7 linked regions of the Macaca fascicularis genome follow. The protein of the gene in region 4 interacts with the protein of the main gene of each other region in a biochemical or structural test. Links are inferred from orthologs where the notes say so. Each region holds a gene or a part of one and is shown on either strand. Other genes may lie near its edges. The genes, in order: ASCC3, DHX15, PCNA, UBC, TRIM32, USP20 and RNF125.

Region 1 (3,886 bases), on a different chromosome or scaffold from region 4:
TAAGAATAGCACTCCGATTTTATTGAAACATGTTTTATTTGGGCTGCATAAAGAATATTTATTATATCAATTAAAAATAACCTCAAAAATAAATTCTCAAATGTGAACTGCTGTTGATTGTGTGGTGACAGTTGTGAGGTGACTTTTTAGCTGCTGTAATTAGCCTTATGACAGAAGCAAAGTATTGATTGTGAACTAGAGACCAATTTTGGCAGTTCAGATTATTTACACCTCCACAGAAGCATTGTACAAAATCACTAATGAACAATAAATCTGCCATGAGCTGTTCAGCCACACCTGTTCTTTCAGCAGCAAAAATCCATTAAATGTTGAGGCCTAAAGAAAGACAGAGATCCATTTATATTTATGTGTCCAAATGATACCAATATTGTACTAATATGTGTATTTTAAATGGTGTATCTCTAATATGATTTATCAAACTTTATCATTTACCTTGGATAACATTCTGATAAATAATAAAAATAATGAGAAATAAGATAAATGTTTATTTTTCATAATATATATTGTTGAAATTGCATATATCTATATGGAATGACTGTATACCGTTGATGGAAAGGAAGCGTTTGTGTTGTATAAATCAATAGTAAATAACTAAAATACTTACACTTCCGTAGATATGGTATCTGCACAGCAGCTATACTTATGTACTATTTATTATACCTGTAGTGATTACTATATTTCTTTGAGTTTAGAAATATGATTGTGTAATAGCTTTATTTCTCATAGTTAGAATGTAAATAAAGTCAAGGTCATGTCAACATTTCCATTATAAACCTTGTTTCCCAGCCCATAAAAAGAAATTCTGCAGCTCACATTTCAAACAAGAAATTACAAAGCAGTTGAACTTTTTATATAAAATTTTTACATGTCTCTGACTGTTTTAAGAGAGTTGTGTAGACATAAATATATATTCTACTCATGGCATCTTATCAGCTTTTTGGAGCCTATGTAAAGCAACAACAACAACAAAAAAAACCTCATTTCAATATAAGCCAAGTGATTTATGTGGCTCTTTAATTATTTTTAAAGATTTGTTGTACAAAATTGCCTTCAGTCTTGTCACTCTGGTTTGTGTTGACCAGAGTCATCTCATCTTCTTTGTGTTGACTACCATGTCCCATTACTCAGATACTCATTCAGGCATAGTATTCTCTTCAGCCCCCTTCTACATTCTGTTGTCTGCCCTTCTCACACATATGCTTTTAGAAAAACAGAGGGAAAACTTTCTTCTGATTTATCTCTTAACCTGTTTACTGGTACAAACTCTACTAATTTTTCTATCACTGATAAAAATAAAAGGTACTTTTTGTGGTCTTTTTAGACATTTTCCATCACCTGGCAGGACTTGGTTTTCTCACCAGACCCCAGGACCAGTTAACTCTGTAATATCACTGCTTAGGCAATACAAATAGCTAAGAAACACAACTTAGCACAGAAAACTCAATCTAAGATTCAGTGTCTATGTATAGCTCTTAATGGAGAGTCTCAATCTTTAAGTTTCTCCTTCCTTGGCAGCTCAGAATAGAACTTGGACCCAGCATAATTAAATCTTTTCTGAGGCAATATACTCTCTAGGTAGGGCCATCAACTTTTCTTTTCCTATTAATCTGTCTAATATGCTGCCAGATCCGTGTAGTACCTGCAATAATGCCAGATTTCATGCCTAAATTGTTTCCATCATTAGTTTTCATGAATCCATTTGATATCCTACTGAAATTCATATTCTGGGGTTAAGTAGCTTTCCATTTTATTTCCCACAACTTTTCAACAGCAATTAGAAGCCACTCTCCCGCCAAACCTGTTTTGATATTTGTCTCATCAAGACGTCAAACTCGTCTTACTGCTTTGGAATTGATCGCCTTCCTGGCTACTGAAGAAGATCCAAAGCAGTGGTTAAACATGGATGAAAGAGAGGTAAGCACCATCTTTTATCTTCTACTACTTATACGTTTCAGGTTATATTGTATTAGAATGAACATTATGTATGTAATTATATTATAGGGAAAGAATAAATCCTTAATACCGCCACCTTACCACACTATTAATATTCTGATATAGTTTGTTCTAGTATAGTCCCACTTAATATTTATTTTGTATATTTGTATTTATATCTTTTTCCTTTAACATTATCACCTATGTATGTTGTAACATTCAACCATTTTCATATTCTTTTAGTATTCACTGCCCTCACTGAAGTTAAAATCAATTTTGCAAAGGTGGGGTTTTTAAAAATATATAATAATCTTTTTTTAATTTTAGGAAGCACTAACATATAAAAATTTAAAAACTGCTTTATCGTTTCCCTAAGTAATAACCACCAGTAAAATTTTAAATTATAATTTTTGTGTCTATGCAGTTATATTCCATTATGCAACTATCTCATAGTGGTTTTGTCCTGTAAGTTAATAATCATTCATCTTTATTATTGTAGATTTTTCTCTGTTTAAAATTATATTCTCAGTATAGAGTTCTAAAAATAGAATTAGTGGGTCAAATGATGTGAATATTTTTACAGCTTTTTCAGGTACACTGCTAATTACTTTCCAAAAGAACTGTACTTATTGGCGTCATCACCACTGATGTATGAGTTATCAGAAGTATATGAGAATAACAGTTTTACTGCATCCTCATTTGTTGCAACTTATTGATATATTATAGATAAAATATTATCTTAATGTATGCCTTGATTTTTGTATGGTTGAACTTTTTTTTTCATGTATTTACTAGTTGTCTTCTTTTTTCCTTGTTGCCTCTTCATTTCTTTGGTCTTTCATCTATTCCAGTACAGCACTTATTTTGTAGATTTGTGTGAGAGATTTGCCAAATTTAGAAAAATATATACGTATGTAAAATTTTATATATTACTTTTCTCCGTATATATGTATTTCTATACATATATACATATTAATCTTTTGCCTGCTGTATTAGGTAACTTTGCTAGTTTATTGCTTGTCTTCTTATCATGGTGTCTTTTTACGAATAGAAGACTTTGCATTTTATGTAATCCAGTTTGTTAGTATGGTCCTTTGTGATTCTTTATACGACATCTAAATATAGATATTCCTCCTCCTTTCTATAGATTTAATATATAGTGATTGTTCTTTCTTACACTTTTCCAGTTTTGAAAAATATTTTCCTAAATGGAGTTACAAAGAAAACAGATGAAATCAGTAGCATAATTGTTGAGTTGTGATCTCGCCACCTACCCTCTTCCGTGTTCCCACTTTGTGATCTCATGCAGGCTAAAGAAGAGCAGTGCTCTTCAGCATCAGTAAAAAACAATGTTCCAAACCCACTGGTGTCCAGGATTAACAGTTTGCATATTTCTCCCCTTCTACTTCTCATGACTCATTTAGAGTTAGTAGGACCGTTGGATAGTACTCTATATCTTACATTATTGTGTAATGGTTAACTGATATTTCAGAATGGTTTTGCTTAGTTCCAAGATGACCTTATTCACTAACAGACTCATAAATTAGCTTAATATGCGGACTATCAAATGACTGCTTGAAGTAGAGTAATAGCGATCATTTTATCTTTTAAATTTATCTTTATTTACTTAATGTTACTTGTATGGATATACCAGATATTTAAGAAACTAATTTATGTTCAAAATAATGTTGTTAAAAGATTTTTTTATCCTGTATTGTTTAATTGATATCTGAATAATCATCCTATTGTGTCTAAGGCAGTGTCATAACTTAGAAGACAAATGATGAAAAATAGATGTACAAAATATTGATGACTCTGTTTATATGCAGTATCTCTCTAGGCTTAATTTTATTTTATATGTTATCCTAAAAGTCTTCCAAATGGACACTTTTCTTTGAAGTCAAGATACAATGTACAAACCTACTAAACACAC
Region 2 (4,358 bases), on a different chromosome or scaffold from region 4:
TACAAATGTTATCACAGTATTAACATATTAGCATTACTTTCCCATAAGTAACAGGAAAAAGTCTTATCAGGTGGTAATATCAAAAACCAACATCAAAATGAAAAACGTCCCTAACATGGAAAACTTTTTTCCATACTTCAACAGTAAGTTGTCTCTTGGTAATAACTGTATAGTGAAGACTCTGTGGGTTGACAAAAAGAAGAAATGAGGCCAGAATACGCAACAGAAACCTATAATAACTTCACCTGATTTCAAAGTTAAAATATGTCAAGAATAAAATAAAGACTTATATAGTTGGGAACATTAATGTAAGTGAAATCTCCCACTGAATTACCTTCTCTTCTCAGTATTGGAGACATCCTATCTGGCAGTGGAGTTTGTAAGACTGACAAGCTTATGCTCTCAGATAAAACCACTTGCTGACTATCAGGGTAAAAAAAAAAATCTGCAGGATTGCATGGCAGTCAACAAGTGACTTAAAATTATGGAGTATGAAAAAAAATCCTGATGCTGATAAACACTGTAAGTCCACTGTTAAATAAAGCCAGTTCTATGATAAATGGCACTCAAATGACATAGAAATTAGTATTAAAACTTCCCTCTACAATTTCTTATAACTTGAGCATTATTCCAAAGATGAACTCGCCTTTATCCACAGGCAAATTCTAAATAATATACAAGGGAATCATAAAGCTACCATTTGACCCCGAAAGTCGACATGTTTACTAAGGGTATCTGTTTTTGCAAGAGATAGTAAACAATTGCACATACATATGGTGGGACCACTAATCCCAAGGGAAGCATTTTAAATGGTGCACATATGCACAAATACAAATGAATTCATTCATTCCCTCCCAGAATATTTTGTTCCAATCTGACCTCCTGTTAGAGACATCAGTTCCAGATGACAGCAATTTATTTTTGCTTCAGAGAAATCAAGAACTAAGTGTTCCCTACTTTACCAACCCATTATAAATGTCATTAAAATAGGCTGTAATGAGTCTTAACTACAGTACTGAACTGTGTGCTGCTGAGTGAAAATGATAAAGGCAGGGTTCCAGATCCTGCTGTAAACTTGCCCAAGCCACCTTAACTGTTCTCCATTTCTCATTCCTTGAGTGGAGCTGTAGAGTCTTTTTTAAGTTGCTCCCAGCTCTGAGAGTCTGTGACATACAGCTCAGAGGCATTTAACGTTTTGTGGGGGGTAACGGTGGGGGACAGTGATAGCCTAAAGAGAGTCTGTCTTACAGTGTCATTGTCTTTTTACAATGCCTAATATCGCCAACTAAACAACTCACAAAACTGTACATGCTTTTGCTTTGTATTGAATAATTCAACATATGGGAAGGTCTCAAAGTACATCCTATCCTGGCTTATACTCTACAATGACACTAAACATATCCCTAGAAATCAATTTCAATGAAGAACTTCAGCTGAAAATTTCAAAAAAGCTAGACAAGGGGACTTGACACAGTGATTCCGTATCACAAGTACACAATAAAATGATAAAATTATGCAAAGTATTTGGATATTCGGGCTTTTGTGGGTTTTGCCTGAATTATCCAAATAGGTCTTTGTACTTCAGCAATGAAAACACACACGGGAAAGAAACAGATTTTCATAAAACTGCTTAAGTTAACTGTTAAATTCCTCTGTATCTTTAAGGAAAGGAATCTGGAACACCATGAGTTTGTGTAAGTATTTCAACTCTCAACCTCCACATGGGCGGTGTTTCGCCATCAATACTAAAAACACGTTTTGAACATGATCCCTGTATTTCAAAAGCTACTTATGAAGAAAAGTGGGACATGCACAGAAAATAAATGATGAAAAAAAAAAAAAAAGAATGCCTTCTAATCCCTCCCCATGGGATGATGTTCGGTAACCACTTTTAACCAAAGCAGGAAATAGAGGAGATGGCGGGAGCGTAGGCAGAGGGCGGAAGTTTGCTAGTATCTACTTTAAAGTGTTTGAATGGACCGAGACACGCTCTCTCCCGCCAAACTATAAACTCAGTCGCCCCAAAACACCAGCCTTCCAGCCCACCAGGTATTTTACTCCACCCTTCCTTTCTCCCGGCAAGTCCTCTACTCCACTTCCCCAGAGAACTCCCCATTTGCTGGCTTCTCTCAACTCCCGCCACCCCCACCCCAGCCTACATTAGGATCCACGCGCTGCTCTCACTTTCCGCCCTCCGCCTTTCCCGTCTGGAGTGCCTGGCCGCGCCCCCACTCAGGCCCTCCCCATGGCCCCTCTGCCTGGGAAGTGCCTGGTGCCCTTGGAAGCGAATACTCCCGCCGCGCCCTCCCCCACTCTCTCCCCCGGATCCAGGCCTTCCTCGGGAACCGAGGCCACGAGGTCCGCGGTTCACTCCCGCCCCACGCCCTCGAAAGTGACTCCTGCTCGGTTCGGCCTGGGGGAGGAGGCGCCCTCATGGCCACTGCAGGCCTCTCCACCCTCCGGACTGGGTTGGGCACCGGCCCCGCCGCACGCAACTCCCCGCGCCCTTGCCGGGCCGAACGGGCGCCGCGCTTCTCCGACCCGCCGCTGGTGAACCCAGCCCAGAAGGAAACAAAGGCTCGGGCTCCAGGACCCGCTCGGCCAGGCCAGTCCCAGCCCGCTCCCTGCCAGGACCCCAACAAAGCCCGAGCTGCTGCCTCGCGCCCCCGGCCTGGCTTACCCATCGGTCCCCGCACGCTTCTTGCCAGAGGGGTAATCCTCCCCTAGGTCCAACCGGTGCCGCTTGGACATCCTCGCACTCTTCGAACGGGCGGTTATTAAGGAAGAAAGCTAGCCGCTGTATGGGCACAGTGGAGGACAGCCACTTAACTCTGGAGGACCCCCACCCCTCCCGCTACTACAGCCCACACGGTGCGGCCGGAACCAGGAGCTAAAATGGCGGCGGCGACGAGGGCTGGGCCTGCGCGCGCGCGCGCTTCCGCAGCGTGCGTGCGTGCGAGTGTGCGTGTGAGCGAGGTGCGCGCGCACGCCGCCCAAAGGCGGGAACTCCTGTCCCGCCCGCTGCCTCATTGGTCCGACCTTTCTTGCGTCTCCTCCCTCTTCCCGTAGCTTTCCCCTCCTAGGAGCGGCTGTTAGGAAAAGCCTGAAGGCCTTCACTTTCCATTTCAGTCTATCCTTGCCCCTCTGAGTCGAGAAATTGAGGAAGTCTAGTCCTAGTTAGGAAATCCTATTCATCTCTATTACCCCGGCTTTAAGGGAATCTCAGACCCAGAGAGGTTGAGAAACGAAGATCGTACAACTAATAAGTGGCAGAGCCGGGATTGGAACCCAGCTATTTAGTAACTCCAGATCTGGAACTTGAGGCCACCCCGCTACTCTCAGTTGCAGTGAGGGACCGCGCGCGGTGGTTCACGCCTGTAATCCCAACACTTTGGGAGATCGAGGCAGGCGGATCACGAGGTCAGGAGTTCGAGACCAGCCTGGCCAACATAGTGAAACCCCGTCTCTACTAAAAATACAAAAATGAGCCGGGCGTGGTGGCGCACGCCTGTAATCCGAGCTACTCGGTAGGCTGAGGCAGGAGAATCGCTTGAACCTGGGAGGCAGAGATTGCGATGAGATCACGCCAGTGCACTCCAGCCTAGGCGACAGAACAAGACTCCGACTTGGGAAAAAAAAAAAAAATCAATTGCAGTGAGGAAACTAAAGTGAGAAAATCTTAAGGCTTGTCATGATCTAGTTTGCCCTTTTCTTGCCCAGCACAGACACCCATGCACTCAAGCTATAGATGTTTTTAGCTAGAATACAGAGAATTCGCAGTGAGGGCACAATTTGCTTTTATGTTTGTTTTTTTGTTTTTCTTTCTGTGCCTATTAATGCACTTTCACAGTGTTAAATAACACCCTGCAAGGTAGTTGTTATTTTGTAGACGTGGACGCAAAGGCTGCGGAAGGTTAAATCTCACGGCCATAAGGGCTGTACCTAAAGCCGTAACAAGGAGGTGGGGCAAGATGACTCTAAGGAATTTTGTAGATCTCTCCCCCTAGAATATCTCTGCTTCCTCAGTTGCATTCGTTCCCAGAAGAAATGCACAAGAAAAGATCTGTGGACTATCTGCAGCAGGGTGATCTCTGTTGTTCATGGAATGACTTGGTTTGGCTGCCGTGGAAGATCATACTCTGGTTCTTATCAAAGTCTCGGGACTGCAATTGCTAGGATTAAACACAACTTAAATATTGCAACTGATGAGGGGTTTGTGTGTTTGTTTTGAGACAGAGTCTTACTCTGTCGTCCAGGCTGGGGGACAGTGGCACGATCTCAGCTCACTGCAACCTCCGCCCCCCAGGTTTAAGCCATTCTCCTGCCTCAGCCTCCCTCCTAGCTGGGATTACAAGCTC
Region 3 (4,437 bases), on a different chromosome or scaffold from region 4:
GAGATAGTGCCACTGCAGTCCAGCCGGGGCAACAGAGCAAGACTCCGTCTCAAAAAAAAAAAAATTGAATTTTTGACACAGATGAGCAATGATTAAAAAATGAGATTGCTAATATCTGTAGTTAGGAAAATAAAGATAAATGAGCATGTTCATACACAGTCTTGGCTAGAATGTAAATTGCAAACTTTTAGAGATTTAGTAACATTTATCAAAAATTTAGCCGGGCATGGTGGCACATGCCTGTAATCCCAGCACTTTGGGAGGCTGAGGCGGGTGATCACCTGAGGTCGGGAGTTTGAGACCAGCCTGGCCAACATGGTGAAACCCCGTCTCTACTAAAAAAAAAAAAAAAAAAAAAAAAAAAAAAATTAGTCGGGCGCGGTGGTAGGCGCCTGTAATCCCAGCTACTTGGGAGGCTGAGGCAGGAGAATCATTTGAACCTGGGAGGCGGAGGTTGCAGTGAGCCGAGATCGCGCCACTGCACTCCAGCCTGAATGACAGAGCAGGACTCCATCTCAAAAAAAAAGAAAGAAAGAAAAGAAAAGAAAAAAAATTAAATGTGTACGCTCTTTGACTCAGCTGTATTACTTCAAGGAGTTGATAGCACCAAAATTGCCTAAGTGCTCAAAGGTGTTTGTAATTAACAGGAGATTGATAAGTTACATACATGTGATGCTATCTTTTAAAGAGGTACTGATATAAAAAAGATGTACGTGGCATAAAATTAAATGTACTTTATTAAGTACTTTTTCGAAGTGTTTACGGAATGAGTGCATTTTGAAAAAAAAAAGTGTATTCGAACTTTCAAAAAAGCTTTAAAAGCTTTATACAAGGAACGATTGAGTGATTATAAGAGCTGGCAGTGGAATGTTAAGAGGTGAGAGGGAGCTAAGTTTAACATAACTCTTTATGGTGTGACACTTAGGAGCGCATCACTTCTGTAATTGAAAAATAAAGTGCATATTTGCAGCAGCTGTACTCTTCAGGCTACAAGGAGGCTTTTCCTCCCGGTAGGCTGGATTTGCTTTTCACTTTCACTTTCGTGGCTGGAAACTTTCTACCCACGGAGCTGGAGGCTGAGGAGGCACCATAAAGCTGGGGCTTGACGAACCGGGGCCTGGGCCGGATCCCCACATATGCCCGGACTTGTTCAGTGGTCAGGTTCAGGAGTCAGGCGAAGAGGCGGGGAGACCTGCGGGACGCTGCCCCGCCCTGCACCCGCTTCCTCCAATGTATGTCCTAGGGGGCGGGCCTCGCGGGGAGCATCGGCACGATTGGCCCTAAATTCTAACCCGCCCAGGCTGTGGGCCGGGCAGCGTGGTGACGTCGCAACGCGGCGCAGGGTAAGAGCGCGCGCTGGCGGACGCGGCGGCATTAAACGGTTGCAGGCGTAGCAGACTGGTAGTTCTGTTTCTAGGTCTCAGCTTCTCGTCACGACGTTCGCCCGCTCGCTCTGAGGCTCCTGAAGCGGAAACCGGCTAGACTTTCCTCCTTCCCGCCTGCCTGTAGCCGCGTTGCTGCCACTCCGCCACCATGTTCGAGGCGCGCCTGGTCCAGGGCTCCATCCTGAAGAAGGTGTTGGAGGCCCTCAAGGACCTCATCAACGAGGCCTGCTGGGATATTAGCTCCAGCGGCGTAAATCTGCAGAGCATGGACTCGTCCCACGTCTCCTTGGTGCAGCTCACCCTGCGGTCTGAGGGCTTCGACACCTACCGCTGCGACCGCAACCTGGCTATGGGCGTGAACCTCACCAGGTGAGCCTCGCGGCGCCGAGAAACCGGCCCCGGCCCACCCCCACCTCCGGGGTTTGGCGGGATCGCTTCCGAGCCGAGCCCTCATTGGCTGGCGTGGACCATCCGCACCTTCTCATTGGCCTGCCATGCAGGGGGGTGGGGCCCAGCTGAGCGCGCGGTTCGGAAAAGCCCGCGCTGGCTGCTGCGCGAACCTGCTTTTTCGCGCCAAAGTCACAAAGCGGGTGGTGGCGGGAAAATGACTGGTTTTTCTGCAGTGCCAGGAACACTGCTCCAGAGCTTTTGCTCACTAAATCCTGTTGGCCTTGAATGGACGCTTTAGTTGTGGCTTTTTTGTTTCCGAGACGGTCTCGATGTGTTGGCCCGGGCTGGTCTCCAACTTCTGGGCTCAGGCGATCCTCCCGGCTCAGTCGCGATTGACTTTAAATGCTTTATAATGTGCCCTTGCGAGAAAAGTGTCAGCCTGTCATCCTACTTAGTGGCAGGAGATTGTTTCTATCCAGAAGGGAAACTGCTGGTGGTATTTTAGTATAAATACTGCCAGATGCATCCCAAAATGTCTGCATTAATATTCGCATCCTCCAGCAGTGCAATTACCCTCCACCAGTTCTGAGACGGCCTATGGGTGAGAGTGGTAACCCCTTCTAACTGCATTAGAAATACAGACCTTCAGTAGATGGTGTTGATTTTAAACCATGTGTCTCCTGTCTTCTAGTATGTCCAAAATACTAAAATGCGCCGGCAATGAAGATATCATTACACTAAGGGCTGAAGATAATGCGGATACCTTGGCGCTAGTATTTGAAGCACCCAGTAAGTCGTACCTTTTTACTGAGTTATGAAGCTACAGAAGATCGAAACTCTGTGCCAGTGTTTCTCAACAGCATTTGCTTTTTTTTGGTAGACCAGGAGAAAGTTTCAGACTATGAAATGAAGTTGATGGATTTGGATGTTGAACAACTTGGAATTCCAGTGAGTATCAGTTTCTGATTGTAGCGACTGCTGTACACAGGCATGATAGTTATGTCATAGAATGTTGTTTATTTTTACAGACAGGGTCTTCCTCTTTTCCCCAGGCTGGAGTGCAGTGGTGCCATATAGCTCACTGTAACCTGGGACTCCTGGGCTCAAGCAATCCACTTAGTCTCCTAAGTGGCTAGGAAGGACTACAGATCTGTCCCACCACGCCTGGCTAATTTTTTTATTTTTGTGTGTGGGTGTGGGGGCAGTCTTGCCCAGGCTGGTCTGGAACTCCTGGCCTCAATGATCCTCCTCCGTCAAGATAAGTTAATATAATTTAAGCCTACTTCATAACAGAACTTTTTCTAGAAACATATCTACTGGTGCATGTTTTAAAGAGATTTTAGTATTTGGATAGTTGTTTACCACAAGTCTAAAACTCACTGGTTAAATTTATTGTTTACTGCCAGTTGTCTATTTGCATTAATTTCCATGAACCTCTTTTAAAATTTGCTTCCTTCTAGGATGGTTGGTTTTGTTTTGTTTTGTTTTGTTTTTGAGGCGGAGTATCGCTCTGTCGCCCAGGCTGGAGTGCTGTGGCCAGATCTCAGCTCACTGCAAGCTCCGCCACCCAGGTTTACGCCATTCTCCTGCCTCAGCTTCCCGAGTAGCTGGGACTACAGGCGCCCACCACCTCGCCCGGCTAGTTTTTTTTTTTTTTTTTTTTTTTGTATTTTTTAGTAGAGACGGGGTTTCACCAGGTTAGCCAGGATGGTCTCGATCTCCTGACCTTGTGATCCGCCTGTCTCGGCCTTCCAAAGTGCTGGGATTACAGGCTTGAGCCACCGCGCCCGGCCCGATGCTTGGTTTTTATTAAGTGGGTTTGAAAGCTATCTTAGAAGAAATGTATCCAGGTTAGGTTTATAAACACCAAAGGAGAGAAGAAATGTTGGAATGTTGAAAATGCCTAATATCATATTCTCTCGTTTTCTTTTAGAAAATAGTTAGACCTGCTTGCGCCGTCATCATTTCTGTGGCATACTCTAATGTTCTCTTACTTTATCCCTGGAGGATGAGGAGGAGGAGGCGCTTGTTCCCTGGGCAGTGCATTTAATAGCCATTTATTTTTTTTGAGTGGAGTTTGTTAAGAAATTACACGAGTCAGTAATCAGAAAATCTTGATTCTGAGTTGTTTAGATGTTGCCTTTTAAGAAAGTGAGGGTGCCAAATCATTAAATTTCTAACAATTAACTTTTGGAAAATTTTTGTTCTTAATAGGAACAAGAGTACAGCTGTGTAGTAAAGATGCCTTCTGGTGAATTTGCACGTATATGCCGAGATCTCAGCCATATTGGAGATGCTGTTGTAATTTCCTGTGCAAAAGACGGCGTGAAATTTTCTGCAAGTGGAGAACTTGGAAATGGAAACATTAAATTGTCACAGACAAGTAATGTCGATAAAGAGGAGGAAGCTGTAAGTAGTTTTTAAGTAAAAAAAATAGTTTGAAGAGAATTGTAATACTGCTTATTAGGTTAATTGCTAAAATTAAAAGTAGACAGAATTGGATCCCAAGTAATTTCTGAAAATTGAGATACTGTTGAAATCTGCAACTGATTTGTAAGTGTCATCCAATTTAGAATTATATTTGCAAGAAGGGAATACAAATTCAGCACGTGTACATACCACAGAACAATGGTTTATGGATCAAGCCCACACAGGCTCTTAA
Region 4 (3,955 bases):
ACACCTGCCTTTTTGTATTTGCAGTAGACATAGGGTTTCACCACATTGGCCAATCTGGTCTTGAAGCCGGCTTTTATTTGCACCCACCTTCTACAGTTCGTACTATATTAAGGTCAACCCCTTCACTGACATTTCACTGTTACCACAGCAACATTTGTAAACTGAAAACCTTGATCCCCTTCACCCAGTCTAATGCAAAATAACCTTAACTTTTAAAAAACCACACCAGTTGGGAATGCAACAACTTTATTGAAAGAAAAGTGCAATGAAATTTGTTGAAACCTTAAAAGGGGAAACTTAGACACCCCCCCTCAAGCGCAGGACCAAGTGCAGAGTGGACTCTTTCTGGATGTTGTAGTCAGACAGGGTGCGTCCATCTTCCAGCTGTTTCCCAGCAAAGATCAACCTCTGCTGGTCAGGAGGGATGCCTTCCTTGTCCTGGATCTTTGCCTTGACATTCTCAATGGTGTCGCTGGGCTCCACCTCAAGGGTGATGGTCTTGCCAGTGAGGGTCTTCACGAAGATCTGCATCCCACCTCTGAGGCGGAGCACCAGGTGCAGGGTGGACTCTTTCTGGATGTTGTAGTCAGACAGGGTGCGCCCATCTTCCAGCTGTTTCCCAGCAAAGATCAACCTCTGCTGGTCAGGAGGGATGCCTTCCTTGTCCTGGATCTTTGCCTTGACATTCTCAATGGTGTCGCTGGGCTCCACCTCAAGGGTGATGGTCTTGCCAGTGAGGGTCTTCACGAAGATCTGCATCCCACCTCTGAGGCGGAGCACCAGGTGCAGGGTGGACTCTTTCTGGATGTTGTAGTCAGACAGGGTGCGCCCATCTTCCAGCTGTTTCCCAGCAAAGATCAACCTCTGCTGGTCAGGAGGGATGCCTTCCTTATCCTGGATCTTTGCCTTGACATTCTCAATGGTGTCGCTGGGCTCCACCTCGAGGGTGATGGTCTTGCCAGTCAGGGTCTTCACGAATATCTGCATCCCACCTCTGAGACGGAGCACGAGGTGCAGGGTGGACTCTTTCTGGATGTTGTAGTCAGACAGGGTGCGCCCATCTTCCAGCTGCTTTCCAGCAAAGATCAACCTCTGCTGGTCAGGAGGGATGCCCTCCTTGTCCTGGATCTTTGCCTTGACATTTTCAATAGTGTCACTGGGCTCCACCTCAAGGGTGATGGTCTTGCCAGTCAGGGTCTTCACGAAGATCTGCATCCCACCTCTGAGACGGAGCACCAGGTGCAGGGTGGACTCTTTCTGGATGTTGTAGTCAGACAGGGTGCGCCCATCTTCCAGCTGTTTCCCAGCAAAGATCAACCTCTGCTGGTCAGGAGGGATGCCTTCCTTGTCCTGGATCTTTGCCTTGACATTCTCGATGGTGTCACTGGGCTCCACCTCGAGGGTGATGGTCTTGCCAGTGAGGGTCTTCACGAAGATCTGCATCCCACCTCTGAGGCGGAGCACCAGGTGCAGGGTAGACTCTTTCTGGATGTTGTAGTCAGACAGGGTGCGTCCATCTTCCAGCTGTTTCCCGGCAAAGATCAACCTCTGCTGGTCAGGAGGGATGCCTTCCTTGTCTTGGATCTTTGCTTTGACGTTCTCGATGGTGTCACTGGGCTCGACCTCGAGGGTGATGGTCTTGCCAGTCAGGGTCTTCACGAAGATCTGCATCCCACCTCTGAGGCGGAGCACGAGGTGCAGGGTGGACTCTTTCTGGATGTTGTAGTCAGACAGGGTGCGCCCATCTTCCAGCTGCTTTCCGGCAAAGATCAGCCTCTGCTGGTCGGGAGGAATGCCTTCCTTATCTTGGATCTTTGCCTTGACATTCTCAATGGTGTCACTGGGCTCAACCTCAAGGGTGATGGTCTTGCCAGTCAGGGTCTTCACGAAGATCTGCATTGTCTAACAAAAGAGCCAAAAACCACCAGCATTTAGCAGACAATGTACTAATCTTCCTAATACTTAAACTATATGTTATATTCACCCAAATGATTACAATTTAAAAGATACCTAAGAAACTTCACAAAATACACTCGCCAACCCCGAACGCATAGTTTAAAACTCAGACTTCAGCTACTTAAGAAAATAGGAACATAGAACTGACCAAAGAAACTGACGCCTCACTTATCCCTCCCCTCACCAGAGGTCAGGCCCCTGTCGACTCAGGAGGGCCTACCCTAGGCCCCAACCCTGCGTCCTGCGACGAAGAAAAGCCTACTGCACACCTACCGGCAGGTGGCCCCACCCCACATTATGAGCCAACAGAACGGATGACGTCACGACACTGCGAGGGCGCGCGCTCCTCAAGCTACGGGTGCACTGCCAAGTGGCACCGCCATTAACTGCCGCCCCCGCAACAGACGACAAAGCGAGTTCTCCGGTCAGTGACAGACTTCACATCAAGGTCCCCAAATGGTGCCCCAGCCCACCTCACCAGAATAAGAGCGTTCCCGCATTAGCGAAAACCTCAAGGCCTTGGGTTCTTGCCGCAAACCATGCCCCCCACCTTGTTTCAACAACCTCACAGCCCGCCTCACAACCGTCTTCCATTCAAGAGCCGGGAACAGCCGCCATTTTGCTGCGCTCCCCTCCCACCCGCTGCTCGGGGCACCTTGCTCGCGGACCCAGACTACAGCCCTCGGCGGCCTCTCATCCCGCGGCGTCGGCCCCCCTCCATCCCACCGAGCGGCCCAGCGGCCACGAAAGCCATGGCCGGCCCAGCAGCCCTCTGCTCACCAAGTGGCGATGACACCGACACACAAACAAGAACTGCGATCCCACTCCCGGCTGCGACGGAACTAGCTGCGCCACACCCGGCGCGTCCTTATATAGTCATCGGCGTTCACCGCCCCAAGGAAATTCCTCCGCAGAATCGCCGAGAAGGGACTACTTTTGCTCGCCCGTTCCGGTCTCTGGAAAGAAAACCAGTGCCCTACAGTCACCCAAGTCCCGTCCCAAAATGTCCTCCTGCTGAGACTGGGGTTCTGGGACTGAGTCTGGTGGGCAGCGGGCCGCCGTCCTGAGCGCCCAAGCGGAAGAATCAGGGCGCTCGCTGCGCCCTGCGGCCATGACGTGGAGGCGCTCGCCGAGAGGAGGGGGCGTCCGCGGGAGGCGCCAAAACCCGGTGCGGACTCTGCGGCGCCAGGAGCGGGTGGGCAGCCCGCGTTCCTCAGCCGCGGCCCCTCCCCTCAGCCCCCGCGGTCCCCTCGGGTCGCGAACCCCGCGTTCGGCGGACGTGGGGCGCGGACGGAGCGCCTCCCGCAGAGTCGGGGTCTCCCTCCCCTCCCTCGCGACCCGCCCTGGCCCACCCCGCGAGACGGACGGGTCTTTATTTTTGGGTCACATTTGAGATAATGACGGGGCTTTCTTTGCTCAGCCCCCCTCAGTCTTCCTGAGCTTCCCAGCCCGGTCGCGGGGGCTCCCCGGTGCCGCGCCCCTCCCCCGCTGCGGGCCGCGGGACAAGGACAATGACTCAGCAGATCTCAGGCCGGGCGCGGCCCTAAAGCTGGGGAACGCTCGAGAACTTTCGAGGGGAGACACTGCAGAGGAGCTGGTGTCCAGGTTAAATTTGGAAAAGTGAGGGGGAAACCCCACACAGTTTTTTTTTTTTAGCTGGAACCCAAGGCTGAGGGAACGACATCCTTCTAGACTGTTCTTTCACCTTCGTGTACATTCTGAGGGCCGGGTATGGAAAGGTCCTACTTGGTTTCAACAGGGAGGCCTAGAAATTTCTCTGGTTTCAATGGGTACGATTATTGTAATCAGGATCCATTCAATAATCGGACCCATTTAAACCGAAGGTTTTAAAAGACAGGAATAGAATCCCAGCCCTATTTCAGGGCAGGGTAGGGTGTCAAATATGAAATGTAATTCTACAGGGCAATTCTATTTTGATAAAAGAAGTGGGGAGAAAAGAATCACCAGCCAGGTTTTTAAATTTTTACCACAACCTATT
Region 5 (4,408 bases), on a different chromosome or scaffold from region 4:
AAAAAAAAAAACAAGTGCAAAGTCTCCCTAACTAGTCTAAGTGAGAAATCATTTGGCACCACCTCTCCCTTATCCCCTACCTGCTAATTGCAATTTTTCAAATATAGTTATCATTAAGTACAAACTACCATAATCTTGGTTTATCTTCTTGGCAAACTTCACTTAGAAATTTAGAAAATGGGGAGAAAGAGTAAACAAGGTTAAGAGTGGGTTCTCAGATAGAATTGGGTACAAATCTGGGCGCCAATACTTAGGCACAGGTGGCCTTGTTAGGTGTAGGTTAACCATCAGCTGCCTTATCTCATGAGGTCCTTATGAGGATTTAGTGAGCTATGCACCTGAAGTCCTTAGCTGTAGCCAGACAGCAAGTGTTCAAAGATGTTAGTCATTGTTTTTGGTTACTGTTTTATCATTGTGCAGGGTCACATAGCTAAGGGGAATTTCAAATCCAAGACCATCCTACTTCAAACTCCTTTGTGCTCCTAAGCTGTACAGTATAATCACCTTGGAGAATAGGTGATTGGCCCCAAACTACTTCGGGGAGTGCAGGTCGTGGCTAGTCAGTCCTGTATCAGACCTCGTCCTTGCCAGATGCCTAGTGCCCTAGATTCCCTCAAATCTCAGGCCAGGTCACCTCCCAACTGGTAAGACTCCTCCACCTTCACCTCTGACTCCCCAAAACTACACTTGGTTTGGATTCCCGGGTACCTTCAGCCTGCAGGGACAGGGGCTGCAGCGTGTACTCCCCATGTCTGCCTCTGCTGTCGGCCTCCCAGCTGAGTAGGCAAAACGTTCCTTTACAGAGCAATGTGTTCATGGATAAACTTGTCTCTAGTGCAGCGCTCTATCAGAGCACAGGACATGGGGCCAAAGCACTGCCCTTCCTAGGGAGTCCCGGTTCTCGACCTCCCCAGAATGGAAGTTTGATTCTTCCGTTGGCCCATTTCTCAGATGGAAAAACAGATTCAGCAAGGTGCCAACGCTTTGTTGAGGACTACCCTGGAGGCTACAGTTTTGTGAAAGGGTAGACATTTGGACTGGAGTCAGATACGCATTCTGGCTTATCTCCTGACTTACTGAGTGAACTTGAGCAGGTCTCTTTCGCCCATGGGTCTCGGTTTCTTCATCTGCACAAAGGCGACGGAACACTGGATTACGTGTCGCTAAGGCCCCGGGTTCTCAGAGGAAAGCTCACCCCTGCAGGGCCGCCTGGCCCCGCGCGCTGGGGCCCGCTGCACTACAAGCCCCAGCATGCCTCGGGAGGCGGGGCTCAGTGACGGACAGGGAGCTCTGCGAATTGGCGCCCGGCAAAGGGCGCTCAACGGCGCGTGCGCAGAGGACGGCGGGCGGGTGGGCTGGCGGCGGTGGACTCGTCGGAGCTGCGGGCGGTCAGGTAGGGGGCGGGAAGGAGGGCTGGGGACTAGGGACCGCGGCCGAAGTCGTGGGCCGTGGCTCAGCGGCCGGTCGGGGGAACGTGCCGGCGTGCAGCGGCCGCGCCCGAATGGCAGGGTCTGGGGACCGGATCTGAGGGGCAGGACTAGGGTGGGGGTGGGGCTGCCAGGGGCAGGCTCGGGAGGGATTCGTGGGGCTGAGGAGATCCGCGGAGATGGAGCTGGGGGAGGGGAGCGAGGGGCTCTGAAGAGATATGCGGTGGCAGCATCTCGGGAGGTATGAGGTAATGTGGGGGCCCTGAGGAGGAACGGGGTGCAGCATGTGGGAGATGGGAAGGAATCAGGGCCCTGGAGGGACCTGGGTGCAGAATTTCAGAAATATGAAGGAACTGGGGGGCCCCGATGAGATTTGAGGGAATCTGGGGGCGCTAGGCATCTGGCAAGGATAGGGTGTAAGATGATAGGAGCAAGGTCTAGGGCGATTCTAAGTGCTATTGAGAAAGGGCTTTCGGAGTGGGCTGAGGGTGAGATAGAGGGGGTGGGGTGAGTTCTTGGGGGACTCTTGTTAGCAGGAAGAAGGGAGCTGGCTGAGTTGTGAAGGCAGCACATGACATTCAGTGCATAAGAGGAAGGAGCAGGGTTTGAGGGCGGCACAGTGCCTGATGGAATGCAGGAGATGGGGGTTCAGATTGAGGGAGAGCAGAAATCTGAAGTGAGGAATTAGGGCGTTGAACTGAGGTGCGGAGCTGAGTGCGGCAAAGATTTGGAAATAGGGATTAAAGGATCTGTGTCCGAGGGATTTGAGGCATATGAGTGAGGAATTGATGAGGGTTGCGTTATACAGCCCCAAAGATTGGAATTTGGTATTGTAAGAGGGTTGAGGACAGGGTTTGGAGAGGATTGAATCGTGGGGTGGAGATGTCCTAACTGGGCTATAGAATCAAAGGACACTGAGTAGATATGTGGATTGGTGTCTTGGGCTGCTAAAGAGATTTTCCTTAAATCGCTGCATGGGAGACGGGGGGAGTTTAGGGGACCCAAGGACCTAAAAGTAATGTATGAAACTCTGGATGAGTATATGAAGATGAGCAGAGTTCAGGTGTTCAGGAACAAAGTGATAAATCTTCAGTTCAGATATCCTGAAGGAGTGTGGTAATCCCTGTGAAGGGTAGAATCTTCTTCATTTATTAAACAAAGATCCGTTATCATAAGGCAGGTATGGTATTGCCACTAACTACACTCTGACCACCGCCTTCTCCCTCCCCCTCCCCCGGTCCACTGAAAGTGGTAGGCTTTGGGGAAGAAGAAATGGAACTATTCAAGGTCATCTGCCTAAGCCCTTTTTCCTTGTACTCCCAAGCTACCATAGCAGATAGAATGTGAGACCTCCAGGGGAATGAGTGGAATAATTTATCCTATATAAGATCCATTGCAGCTTGAAGGGGCAGTGGCTCTGTGAGTGAGATGTTTGGGCTCGGAGAGGGACAAAAAAAACAAAAAAATCAAACAACAACAAAAAAAGGGAACCCTTATGTATTGAGCATTTAGTCCTGTGCTAGACTGTAAAGCAGTGGTTCTTAATCAGGGGTGGCTTTGTCTCCTAGGAGACATTAGGCAATGTCTGGAGATGTTTTTTGGTTGTCACACTTAGGGTGGGGGATACTACTGGCCTCAAGTGGGTAGATTAAACATTAAATATAATGTTTTATGTTAATGTTAAACATTTGACAATGCATGGGATAAGCCCCTCCCCCCCAGTAAGGAATTATCCTGCCTAAAATGTCAGTAATGCCAAAGTTGAGGCACTCTGCCCTAGAATCAGATACCCTGGGTTCAAGTCCTAGCTCTATCTCTTCCTGACTTTGTGGCCTTGAATGAGTTACTTACCACCCAGTGCCTTGGCTGTTCATCTGTAAAATGGGGTTATGATAACAGGACCTATGTCACAGAATTGTTGTGAGGATTTAGTGAAGTAAATTAGCATGCCTAGGATCTGGCACATAGTAAGTTCTCAAAGTCTAGTAATTTTTAGTCTTGTATCTACTTCTTTACTCAGTTTTCATGACAGTCCTTCTAAGGACTGTATTCAGTTTTACACATGAGGAAACTAAGGCTTAGGAAGTGACTTGCCTAAGTTTTCATAGCTAGGAATGACACAGTTAAGCTCATACCCAGATCTCTGTAACTCTGTATTTTCCCACTTTCCTTGCTAGGACCCGCTTAGTCTTATTTTCTCAGCCCATTCCCCTCTAATGAAAACGAGGATTGCCCAGTGAGAATCACTGACTATCAGATTGAACTCTAAAGTTGGGGGATAAATCTCTCTGACTAGATTGGGAGGAGCCCTGGACTTTGTTCTTGGTTTGTTCTTAGACCAAGACCAGGGGCTAGATAAGGAGAGGAGCTTGAAGTTATCAGGCAGGATGAGGTGCAGCGGACTATGGGGTGAGGTATGGAGGCTGTTGGCTTGAAAAAAAAACCTCACAGCAGGGACTGAGGCTGAAGGCACAGCAGGGACTGAGGCTGAAGGCAGTCATACTTTGAAGGAGAGTAACTACTGTTGTGTATGGTCTCTTTTGGACTGCTTTTCCCTGGAACAGAATAGTAGCATTGGCTCTATCATTTCCAGGACTAGCTACAGCATTGCTGAAGCCAGTTCAGAAACAAAACTTGACTGTATCTGACAGCAAGACTTAGCTGGAATATCCATGCACATCCCTAAAAGAAAATATGTCATGGGAATTCAATCAGTCCTGTCTAAACTCCTTACTCTTTCTAATTTCCCATGTTACCTTGGACAAGCACTTGTCCTGTCAGCTTCAATCTATTAAAAATGCAAATGATTATCATTTGTTGAGTGCTTATTATGTGCGTTATCTTAGTGAATTCAGTCATCCTGCTAACAGTCTGGGTTTTATTCTTTGTTTATAGATGAGAAAAATAACAGGTTAAGTGACTTACCCGGGGCTACAGAACAAGTGGCTAGGTTGGGATACAAACCCAGTTGTGTCTTACAC
Region 6 (3,886 bases), on a different chromosome or scaffold from region 4:
AGAAAGGAAAGGAGTCTTCTGCGGGGGACTAGATGGCGAGGTGTCTAGGAGGACTTTTCCTGGTGAGAGGGTTGGCTTGAGTAAGTGAAGGCTCGTCGCCCGGGTGCTGTTGAGCTTAAAGAACCAGTAGATGGATCCCGTTCTCAGCCTTGGCTGTGTTATTTTGGGCTGAATCATTCTTTACTGTGGGGCCATCCTATGCATTGTAGGATGTTTAGCAGCATCCTTGGCCTCTACTCACTAGTGCTAGTGACAACCAAAATGACCTCCAGTCATTCAGACTTCTGTGAAAGAGCTGAGTGCAGGTGAGGCTCCTGGCACACTCCCTCCCTGCCACACTACTTCTAACAGGGTTAGGACGCGCTCCACTCACAGGGAAGGCCCGGCGAGAGACACTGAGGGACGCCCGTGCTTTGTGGCCATTAGGAAGTGATTCTGCTGCCTGGGCACAGTGGCTTATGCCTGTGATCCCAGCACTTTGGGAGGCCGAGGCAGGTGGATCACTTGAGCCCAGGAGTTCAAGACCAACCTGGCCAACATGGCGAAACCCCATCTCTACCAAAAATACAAAAATAACCTGGGCACGGTGGTGTGTACCTGTAGTCCCCGCTACCTGGAGGGCTGAGTGAGGTGGGAGGATCACCTAAGCCTGGGAGGTTGAAGCTGCAGTGAGCTGTGATCGTGCCACTGCACCCCAGCCTGGGCAATAGAGACCCTGTCTCAAAACAAAAACAAAAAAGATACTGTCAGGGCTGGGCATAGTGGTGTGCACTTGTGGTCCAACCTACTCAGGAGGCTGAGGTGGGAGGATCACTTGAGCCCAGGAGGTCAAGGCTGCAGTGAACCATGATTGCGCCGCTGCACTCCCGCCTGGGCACAGAGTGAGACCCCCCCCATCTCAAAAAAGAAAAGAAAAAAGAAAAAGAAAATGCTCCTGTCAGAAGGAGAGCTGCCTCTCTGAGCAGATAGGCACATTCTATTCAACCGGGGAAAATTAGCATCTGCCAGGCCAGGTGCAGTGGTTCATGCCTGTAATCCCAGCACTTTTGAGAGGCCGATGTGGGCGGATCACCTGAGGTCAGGAGTTCAAGACCAGCCTGGCCAACGTAGTGAAACCCCATCTCTACTAAAAATACAAAAGTAGCCAGGTGGTGGCGCGCACCTGTAGTCCTAGCTACTCAAAAGAGGCTGAGGTGGGAGAATCGCTTGAACCTGGGAGGCAGAGGTTACAGTGAGCCGAGATCGTGCCATTGCACTCCAGCCTGGGTGACAGAGTGAGACTCCCTCTCAAAAAGTAGCATCTCCCTTGTGGTCTCAGTTGGGTCAAACAGTTATTGAAGAGACCCACAAAATGTTGCCACTGTCCTCTCTGAGCGATGGGTGTGTTCATTTTGTTTGAGCTTGTCTGGGGGTTCTGATTTTTCACCTTGAGCATCTGGTGTTTTTGTAAGACTCTTGGGTGAGGGCCTGGGGCGGGGGCATTTGGGAAATCCTTGCTGAAGGTAAATAGAGGCTGACCTGCCCTCTGTCCCCTCCCGTCCTTGCCCACCTGCCCAGCTGAACAAGGCCTTCCAGGCCGAGGAGTCGCCGGGCGTCATCTACTGCATCAGCATGCAGTGGTTCCGGGAGTGGGAGGCGTTCGTCAAGGGGAAGGACAACGGTGAGCTGAGGGGGGCCTGGCACTTACCTGCCCCGGGGGCCTCCTGGGAGATGGGATGCTGGCAGGGGAGGGCCGGCACACGGGGGCTCCTGCAGGCCCCGTACCTTCCCCCAGGTGCCACCCATCCAGGGTGGACAGAGAGCATGGGGCTCTGCCAGTCCCCAGTGGGGATCGCTGTCCCCACCCAGAGGCAGGAAGCCGCTCCTGCTCTGCGCCCCTCCCCTTCTCCACTCCCTGCCGTGCCCAGCAAGCTGCTCTGCCCTCCTGCAAGGCCCTTTCCTCAGGGGAGCGTGTTGCCCGAAATGACAGATTTGTCATCCAACTTGTTGGATCTACAGAGATGGAGACAGGCCCCATCACAAGGATGCTCCCAGGGCCCCCCAGACCCCCAGTGAGGAACAGCAGAGCCAGCCATGGGTTGCCTGTGGCTTTGGGGCCCGGCAGGGTGGGCAGACCCCATGGTCCTGCTCACGGGACCCTTTGTGTGGAGCACAAGCACCCACCTGTGCTCGGGAAGGAAGGCCCCACTGCCATCCCGCTGCTCAGGGAAGGTGCCAGGGCCACCCTGAGGCACCTCTGGTGGTGGCCGAGGCCTTCAGCGTGGCTGTGGTTGAGAACGTAGCTCCGGAACCCCCACCCTGGCCTGGACGGTGGCCTTGCCTTCTACCAGCTGTGACCTGAGTGGTTACTTCACCTGCCCAGGCCTCGGCTCTGTCTCTGTAAACCTCTGTCTTGTCCTGTGGCTGCTGAGGCTAAATGAGACAGCTGGGCAGAGGGGAAGGGGCGTGGTGAGTGGCAGCTGCCAGCAGAGATGAGGGCATGGGCCGCCCACCGCAGTTCCCGCGGCCAGCACAGAGTCTGAGACGATCTCGTGCATCCTGGAAATTCCCTCTGCTGGGTCCTCAGACTGCCGCAGAGGAGCATTGGGTGGCCCAGGCACCTCCTTTAGAGACTTCTCGCTGACCCCCAGGCCTGGGGTGGCCTCACTTGGGATGGCTCTGCTGCTGCGGAGGGTGGAGGGTGTGGCAGGGGCTGAACCCGAGCCTGCTGTGTCTGTTCCAGAGCCCCCCGGGCCCATTGACAACAGCAGGATTGCACAGGTCAAAGGAAGCGGCCACGTCCAGCTGAAGCAGGGTGAGTTCCCCCAGCGTCAGCCAGGCTCCTCTCTGCGCTTCCTGGCTGCCAGGCTGCTGCCCAGCCCCGTCCTTCCAGGAGCCCCCTTCCCACCTGTCTTAGAGTCAGGCTGAGATGTCCACCCGAGTCCAGGCCCAGGCGGCTGAGAGATGGCGCAAGGGGCTTGGTCTCTGCTTGTGTCCCCCAGGTCCCACCCCTCCGCCTGCTGCTGGCCTGGCCCACCCTGCTGTTTATGTCAGCGCCACTCCCAGGAACGAGGGACACAGCCAGAAATAACACATCTCCGGGGCCCTTAGCAGGACGGACGTTCCTCTGGGAAATCCTGGTTTCCATCTGACGGCTTTGCATAGATGCCCTGGTTGCCGTCCTCCCCCTTTGGGGTCTGGCCCTGCGGAGCCCCCACTGCCCAGGCCAGTGGCTTCCTTGAGGCGGCAAAGGTGAGCCCAGGGATGCCTCTCGTGCCCTGCAGGAGCTGACTACGGGCAGATTTCAGAGGAGACCTGGAACTACCTGAACAGCCTGTACGGAGGCGGCCCCGAGATCGCCATCCGCCAGAGTGTGGTGCAGCCGCCGGGCCCGGAGAGCCTGCACGGGGAGCAGAAGATCGAAGCCGAGACCCGGGCAGTGTGATTTGCTGGGCTAGTCTGTAAGTGGCCCTGGCCGGTCCCTCCACGGCACTCTGGGTCCTCTCCTCCCTCTCCAGAGACCCTCATGTGTCCCTTTGAGCATCCAAAGGGCAGGTCCCTGAAGGAGCCTTCCTGGAGGCTGTAGGGAGGCCCTGGACGTGCCCAGCCCCACTGCTGAGTGCCCGTGTCCCCACAGCCCTGTGTGCCCCACCCCGCGGAAGGCGTGTTTGTGCCCAGAAGAGAGGCCGGGCCACTGCAGAACCCCGCTGTGTAAAGAGGCAGAAAAGTTGGTTTGGTTCGCAGTGAGTAACGCTGCAACTGGAAAACGTGCACTTCAGGCTTGTTTAAACGACCAAGACTCTGTGACGTTAATTTGGGTTTTTGTCCTGGCAGTGCTCCTGCCAGTCACTGTCATCATTGTGTCCCCCACAACTGTCCTCTTACTAGCTCGGCCCAGCTTTGTTCC
Region 7 (4,389 bases), on a different chromosome or scaffold from region 4:
CACGGTACCCGGCCTATATCTCCTAATTAAAAGTAAAGCCTGGGGTAAACTGGATGAAGTTTACGGCCTGTTAAATACATACATGTATTATATGCGTTATTATATCCCATGTGTTACATTATATATTATTGTATATGTGTATTATATACTATGTACTATTCTTACAACTGTATGCAAATCTATAATTACCTCAAAGTAAAGTTTTGTTTTTGTTTTTTTGTTTTTTTGTTTTGTTTTGTTTTTTGTTTTTTGTTTTTTTTTGAGACGGAGTCTCGCTCTGTCGCCCAGGCTGGAGTGCAGTGGCGCGATCTCGGCTCACTGCAAGCTCCGCCTCCCGGGTTCACGCCATTCTCCTGCCTCAGCCTCCCGAGGAGCTGGGACTACAGGCGCCCACAACCGCGCCCGGCTAATTTTTTGTATTTTTAGTAGAGACGGGGTTTCACCGTGGTCTCGATCTCCTGACCTTGTGATCCGCCCGCCTCGGCCTCCCAAAGTGCTGGGATTACAGGCGTGAGCCACCGCGCCCAGCCTTGTTTTTGTTTTTTAAAGTAAGTTCTGTGAGAACTGGGATTTTGTTTGCTTGTTGACAGTTGTGTCTCCATCACCAGAACTGAGTCTGGCGTGCAGTGGGCACGAAATAAGTCTTCGAAAAAAGTGTGAATTAACGCCCGGCTAATTTTTGCATTGTTAGCAGAGACGGGGTTTCATCATGTTGGCCAGGCTGGTCTCGAACTCCTGACCTCAAGCGATCCACCTGCCTCGGCCTACCCAAAGTGTTGGAATTACAGGCGTGAGCCACCGCGCCCGGCTGATCACATTTAAAGGGCGGGATGGGGAGAGTACAAACAACAGAGGAAATCCTGAGCCGCAGAGGAAACTGGAGACGGCAGGGTTTAGCACTAGAATATCTGTAAGAGAGGTAGGATTGGAATCTGAATCTCCAGAACTCTTTCCACTACCCAGGCTCTCTCTCCATTAATGGACTATTGATTGGACGACAGAGTAATGATAGCACCGTCTTAGGAGACGTCCAATCATAGGTCATAGTTCAATGCAGCTTATTGTGATTACAACAGTGGAGGATGGTCCTTACAAGCGGCTGTTCTCTGATTACCATTAAGCATGGCCACGCCCGCACTTAACTTCTGACAGTGGGGAAAGAGGCTGTGTGTGACAGCTTGGAAGGTTTACTACTGCCTCAAGTCCTCTTCTCTGCAGTTGAGGTTTCAGGTTTCAATCCTCCCAATACCACAAGACAAAGCACCTGGCGGCTGCCGCCTCCGCCTCCGCGCCTTAACCTAGGCGGTTTGCCGAAGATTTCAGCCCCGCGGCCGCGCACTCGCCCTGCCCTAGACCAGGGTTGGGCGCATCGGCGGAGGTTGCTTCTTGGCTGCGCGAGCTGCGCGCGCTGGGAGGCGGCGATCGCAGCTGGGCCGGGACTTCCTTCCTCCACCGCACGACAACAAAACAACCCTGCAGCAGGCACTGAGTGCTTGGCAGCTGTCTGGGCGAGAGGCACAGCGATGGGCTCCGTGCTGAGCAGCGACAGCGGCAAATCGGCTCCCCCCTCTGCCACCCCGCGGGCCCTGGAGCGCAGGGGGGACCCGGAGTTGCCCGTCACGTCCTTCGATTGCGCCGTGTGCCTTGAGGTGTTACACCAGCCTGTCCGGACCCGCTGTGGCCACGTGTAAGTGCCAGGGGAGCTCGGTTTGGGCCCACCCCTAAGGAGGGCGATGTCGGGAAGCTGAGGGCATGGTGTGGGGAAGGAGGGGGACGGAAGACAGCGCCTTAGGAAACTGCTGCAGAGAGAAACCTGGACCCGTCGGGTGCGGGGCCACGGGGAAAACGCCGGTCGGAAGGTGACACAGGATTTCGGGAGGAGAAAAAAGAAACAATCGGGCCCTGCAGCCCCCTTGCGCTGCCTCCTCCCGAAGTCCAGGTGCGGAGCTCCAGAGAAGGGGATCCAGGCACGGGTCCCGCCCAGAGCCAGGGCTCGCCAACAGGGGAGGGTGCTCTTGGCTGGAGAACGAGCGCTCGCCCGGGCACGAAAAAGAAACGAGCTCCAACTGCAAGGCAGGGGCTCCCTCAAAGCGCAGGTACCCCGCTGAACACGGTGGAACAGGCTGCGCTTCCCTCTGCCCCAGAAACTCGGGTCCGTTTTGTTTTGCTGGAGCTGTGCACGTGTTCCCAGAATGCCCACAGAGGCTCGTCTTAAGCAAACAAGGATCTGTGCAAAGTGTTTTTTCCACCCCCACCCCTGCTACCCTTTCCCAACACAGACACCCATCCCCTCAAAGAGCAAGTCAAACTGGAGCTTCCGAGTGACTTTCCACAAGTCGTTAGAGTTTAACAACCTGCTAGGGTGGGGCTTGGACGTTAGCCGCAAGCCCCTGAATGTACTCCTCCAAAACCCAGCCACAACGTGACAGGAGGTGACAGACTACCTGCTTTACACGCCGTCTCTCCAAACCGGCAGAAATTACAGAGTAAAATAACTTTCTCAAAACGGCATAGTACTTAGCTAAAACTCACAGTTGGTGCAAAGCCGTGGTCGTTTCTAAGAAGAGTTTAAAAACAAAGTTCCTATATAAAATTGGCACATGCTTAATGTGTGCTTGAGTAACTGGTGAAGTTGGATCTGTGAATTCGTGCTGTTTACTTTGTGTGTGTGTGTGTGTGTGTGTGTGTGTGTATGAGAGAGAGAGAGAGAGAGAGAGATAGTCTGACTCTGTCGCCCAGGCTGGAGTGCGGTGGCGGTGGCAGGATCTCGGCTTACTGCAACCTCCACCCACTGCAACCTCTGTCTCCCCGCCTCAAGTGATCCTCCTGCCTCAGCCTCCCGAGTTGCTGGGATTACAGGCGCCCACGACCACACCCTACTAGTTTTTGAATTTTGAGTAGAGATGGGGTTTCACCATGTTGGCCAGGCTGGTCTTGAACTCCTGACCTCAATTGATCCACCCACCTCGGCCTCCCAAAGTGTTGGGATTAAAGGTGTGAGACACTGCACCCAGCCTTCTCTCTTTGGTTTGAATTTTGTTCGTGGATGTGTGTGTGTGTGTGTGTCTGCACGGATCAGAAGCGGAAGCCTACTTAATGTCCTTTGAAGGGTGACTATAGTATGATGAAGCCCTGTGTGATACCACAGTGGCATGTACTTGTATTTGGCTTAGCAGGAAGAAAGAAATGCATTTGGCTTAGCAGGAAGAAAGAAATAGCATTATTGCTTCTGAGGATCACTTTTGAAAGGATTTAGGTAGTCCTTAAAAACATGTTGTGCACTTGCATTCAGAAGTTTTGAGGCCGGGCATGGTGGCTCACACCTGGAATCCTTAGGTGATCCTTAATACCTATAGCCTTGTATCTGAAAAGCAGTTTTCACCACTGCCCAACCTGTGAGCCAGGGAAAAAAGTGTGCAGCCTGCACAATGTATAAATAAAGAGTGCTTTGGGCATTATTTCGTAGCTGTATTTTCGAGGCCTGTTGTTTCAGCTTTGTTCTTAAAACTCGAGGCTTAAATTTACCCTCCTTTCTGATTACTAATGTTGCTCAGCTGTCCAGATGTAGCTCATTAACGTAATATCCACAGGCCAATCTGGAAGCCAAGATGGGCTGTGTGAGTCATAAAATATATTGATTATTTTAGGGCAATAACAGCCTAAAGATACCTCCATTGAAATTGAATCATTATTAGCCTTAAAACTTTGAAGTTGTGCAAAACATAAACAGTGGGCATTTTGAAGATTCTTTTTGGAATAGACCGCTTTGCTGCTAATTCAATTATCTGACTGGAGATTGTTTTCCTGTTTTGGACTTTGAATAGTATAACTTACCATTTACAATATTTTTCCTTCTACTAAAGGATAATGTAAGTTTGCAAAATGTTCAATTTTTTGTTTAATCTTTTTCTTTGTTAAAGTGAATAGGAAACTAGCAACTGGAAAAATAACCATAAAATAGCATTACAAGGGCTGAACAAATTGCCTTTCCTCTCTTTACTGTTCTTTGTTTTGACAAATCTATGTCCATTGTTCTAGCTGTGGGCAGAATTTCCATATTCCTCCTTTTGGCAAACTTACTTGGGCCCCTTCCACTTTATAAATGTTAACCAGAGTCTTTTCTGCTGTAGAGATTATGAGCGTTGTTAATGCCATTTGTACATTCTAAATGAATTACTCTTTTCCATTGAAATTAAGTTGGAAAATGAATAAATGCAAATGAACCTTCTGTATTTTATTATCCCATATTGAAGCTACAGTTTCAGACATATTGAACTAGGTGGTTTATGCTGATTTTCAAGTCAAACAAGTTTAATAGTAACAGCAGTACCTTGACTGAATATGTACAGAGCACTTTATAAGTTGTATTGTGATGCAGTAGTAACTGGC

Evidence for each region.
Region 1: the proteins of UBC (region 4) and ASCC3 form a complex in vitro, tested with the Homo sapiens proteins (2 studies listed by BioGRID). The link is inferred for Macaca fascicularis from reciprocal best matches to the Homo sapiens genes UBC and ASCC3.
Region 2: the proteins of UBC (region 4) and DHX15 form a complex in vitro, tested with the Homo sapiens proteins (2 studies listed by BioGRID). The link is inferred for Macaca fascicularis from reciprocal best matches to the Homo sapiens genes UBC and DHX15.
Region 3: the proteins of UBC (region 4) and PCNA form a complex in vitro, tested with the Homo sapiens proteins (2 studies listed by BioGRID). The link is inferred for Macaca fascicularis from reciprocal best matches to the Homo sapiens genes UBC and PCNA.
Region 5: the proteins of UBC (region 4) and TRIM32 form a complex in vitro, tested with the Homo sapiens proteins (3 studies listed by BioGRID, with this or other methods). The link is inferred for Macaca fascicularis from reciprocal best matches to the Homo sapiens genes UBC and TRIM32.
Region 6: the proteins of UBC (region 4) and USP20 are reported together in a solved structure, tested with the Homo sapiens proteins (2 studies listed by BioGRID, with this or other methods). The link is inferred for Macaca fascicularis from reciprocal best matches to the Homo sapiens genes UBC and USP20.
Region 7: the proteins of UBC (region 4) and RNF125 form a complex in vitro, tested with the Homo sapiens proteins (3 studies listed by BioGRID, with this or other methods). The link is inferred for Macaca fascicularis from reciprocal best matches to the Homo sapiens genes UBC and RNF125.

Annotation. Positions count from the first base shown.
Region 1 is NC_088378.1:74,695,106-74,698,991, forward strand, and holds part of ASCC3 (activating signal cointegrator 1 complex subunit 3), read left to right. Parts: intron 1-1,792; coding exon 1,793-1,935; intron 1,936-3,886. UniProt on the Homo sapiens protein: ATPase involved both in DNA repair and rescue of stalled ribosomes. 3'-5' DNA helicase involved in repair of alkylated DNA: promotes DNA unwinding to generate single-stranded substrate needed for ALKBH3, enabling ALKBH3 to process alkylated N3-methylcytosine (3mC) within double-stranded regions.
Region 2 is NC_088379.1:23,697,989-23,702,346, forward strand, and holds the start of DHX15 (ATP-dependent RNA helicase DHX15), read right to left. Parts: upstream 2,901-4,358; 5' UTR 2,752-2,900; coding exon 2,681-2,751; intron 1-2,680.
Region 3 is NC_088384.1:82,160,741-82,165,177, forward strand, and holds the start of PCNA (proliferating cell nuclear antigen), read left to right. Parts: upstream 1-1,373; 5' UTR 1,374-1,533; coding exon 1,534-1,754; intron 1,755-2,466; coding exon 2,467-2,564; intron 2,565-2,655; coding exon 2,656-2,723; intron 2,724-3,989; coding exon 3,990-4,184; intron 4,185-4,437. UniProt on the Homo sapiens protein: Auxiliary protein of DNA polymerase delta and epsilon, is involved in the control of eukaryotic DNA replication by increasing the polymerase's processibility during elongation of the leading strand.
Region 4 is NC_088385.1:132,077,541-132,081,495, forward strand, and holds UBC (polyubiquitin-C), read right to left. Parts: upstream 2,801-3,955; 5' UTR 2,737-2,800; intron 1,903-2,736; 5' UTR 1,900-1,902; coding exon 298-1,899; 3' UTR 230-297; downstream 1-229.
Region 5 is NC_088389.1:41,394,035-41,398,442, reverse strand, and holds the start of TRIM32 (E3 ubiquitin-protein ligase TRIM32), read left to right. Parts: upstream 1-1,344; 5' UTR 1,345-1,393; exon of another isoform or gene 1,394-1,675; intron 1,676-4,408. UniProt on the Homo sapiens protein: E3 ubiquitin ligase that plays a role in various biological processes including neural stem cell differentiation, innate immunity, inflammatory resonse and autophagy.
Region 6 is NC_088389.1:14,027,626-14,031,511, reverse strand, and holds part of USP20 (ubiquitin carboxyl-terminal hydrolase 20), read left to right. Parts: intron 1-1,557; coding exon 1,558-1,660; intron 1,661-2,722; coding exon 2,723-2,794; intron 2,795-3,263; coding exon 3,264-3,424; 3' UTR 3,425-3,886.
Region 7 is NC_088392.1:57,852,056-57,856,444, reverse strand, and holds the start of RNF125 (E3 ubiquitin-protein ligase RNF125), read left to right. Parts: upstream 1-1,484; 5' UTR 1,485-1,523; coding exon 1,524-1,687; intron 1,688-4,389. UniProt on the Homo sapiens protein: E3 ubiquitin-protein ligase that mediates ubiquitination and subsequent proteasomal degradation of target proteins, such as RIGI, MAVS/IPS1, IFIH1/MDA5, JAK1 and p53/TP53.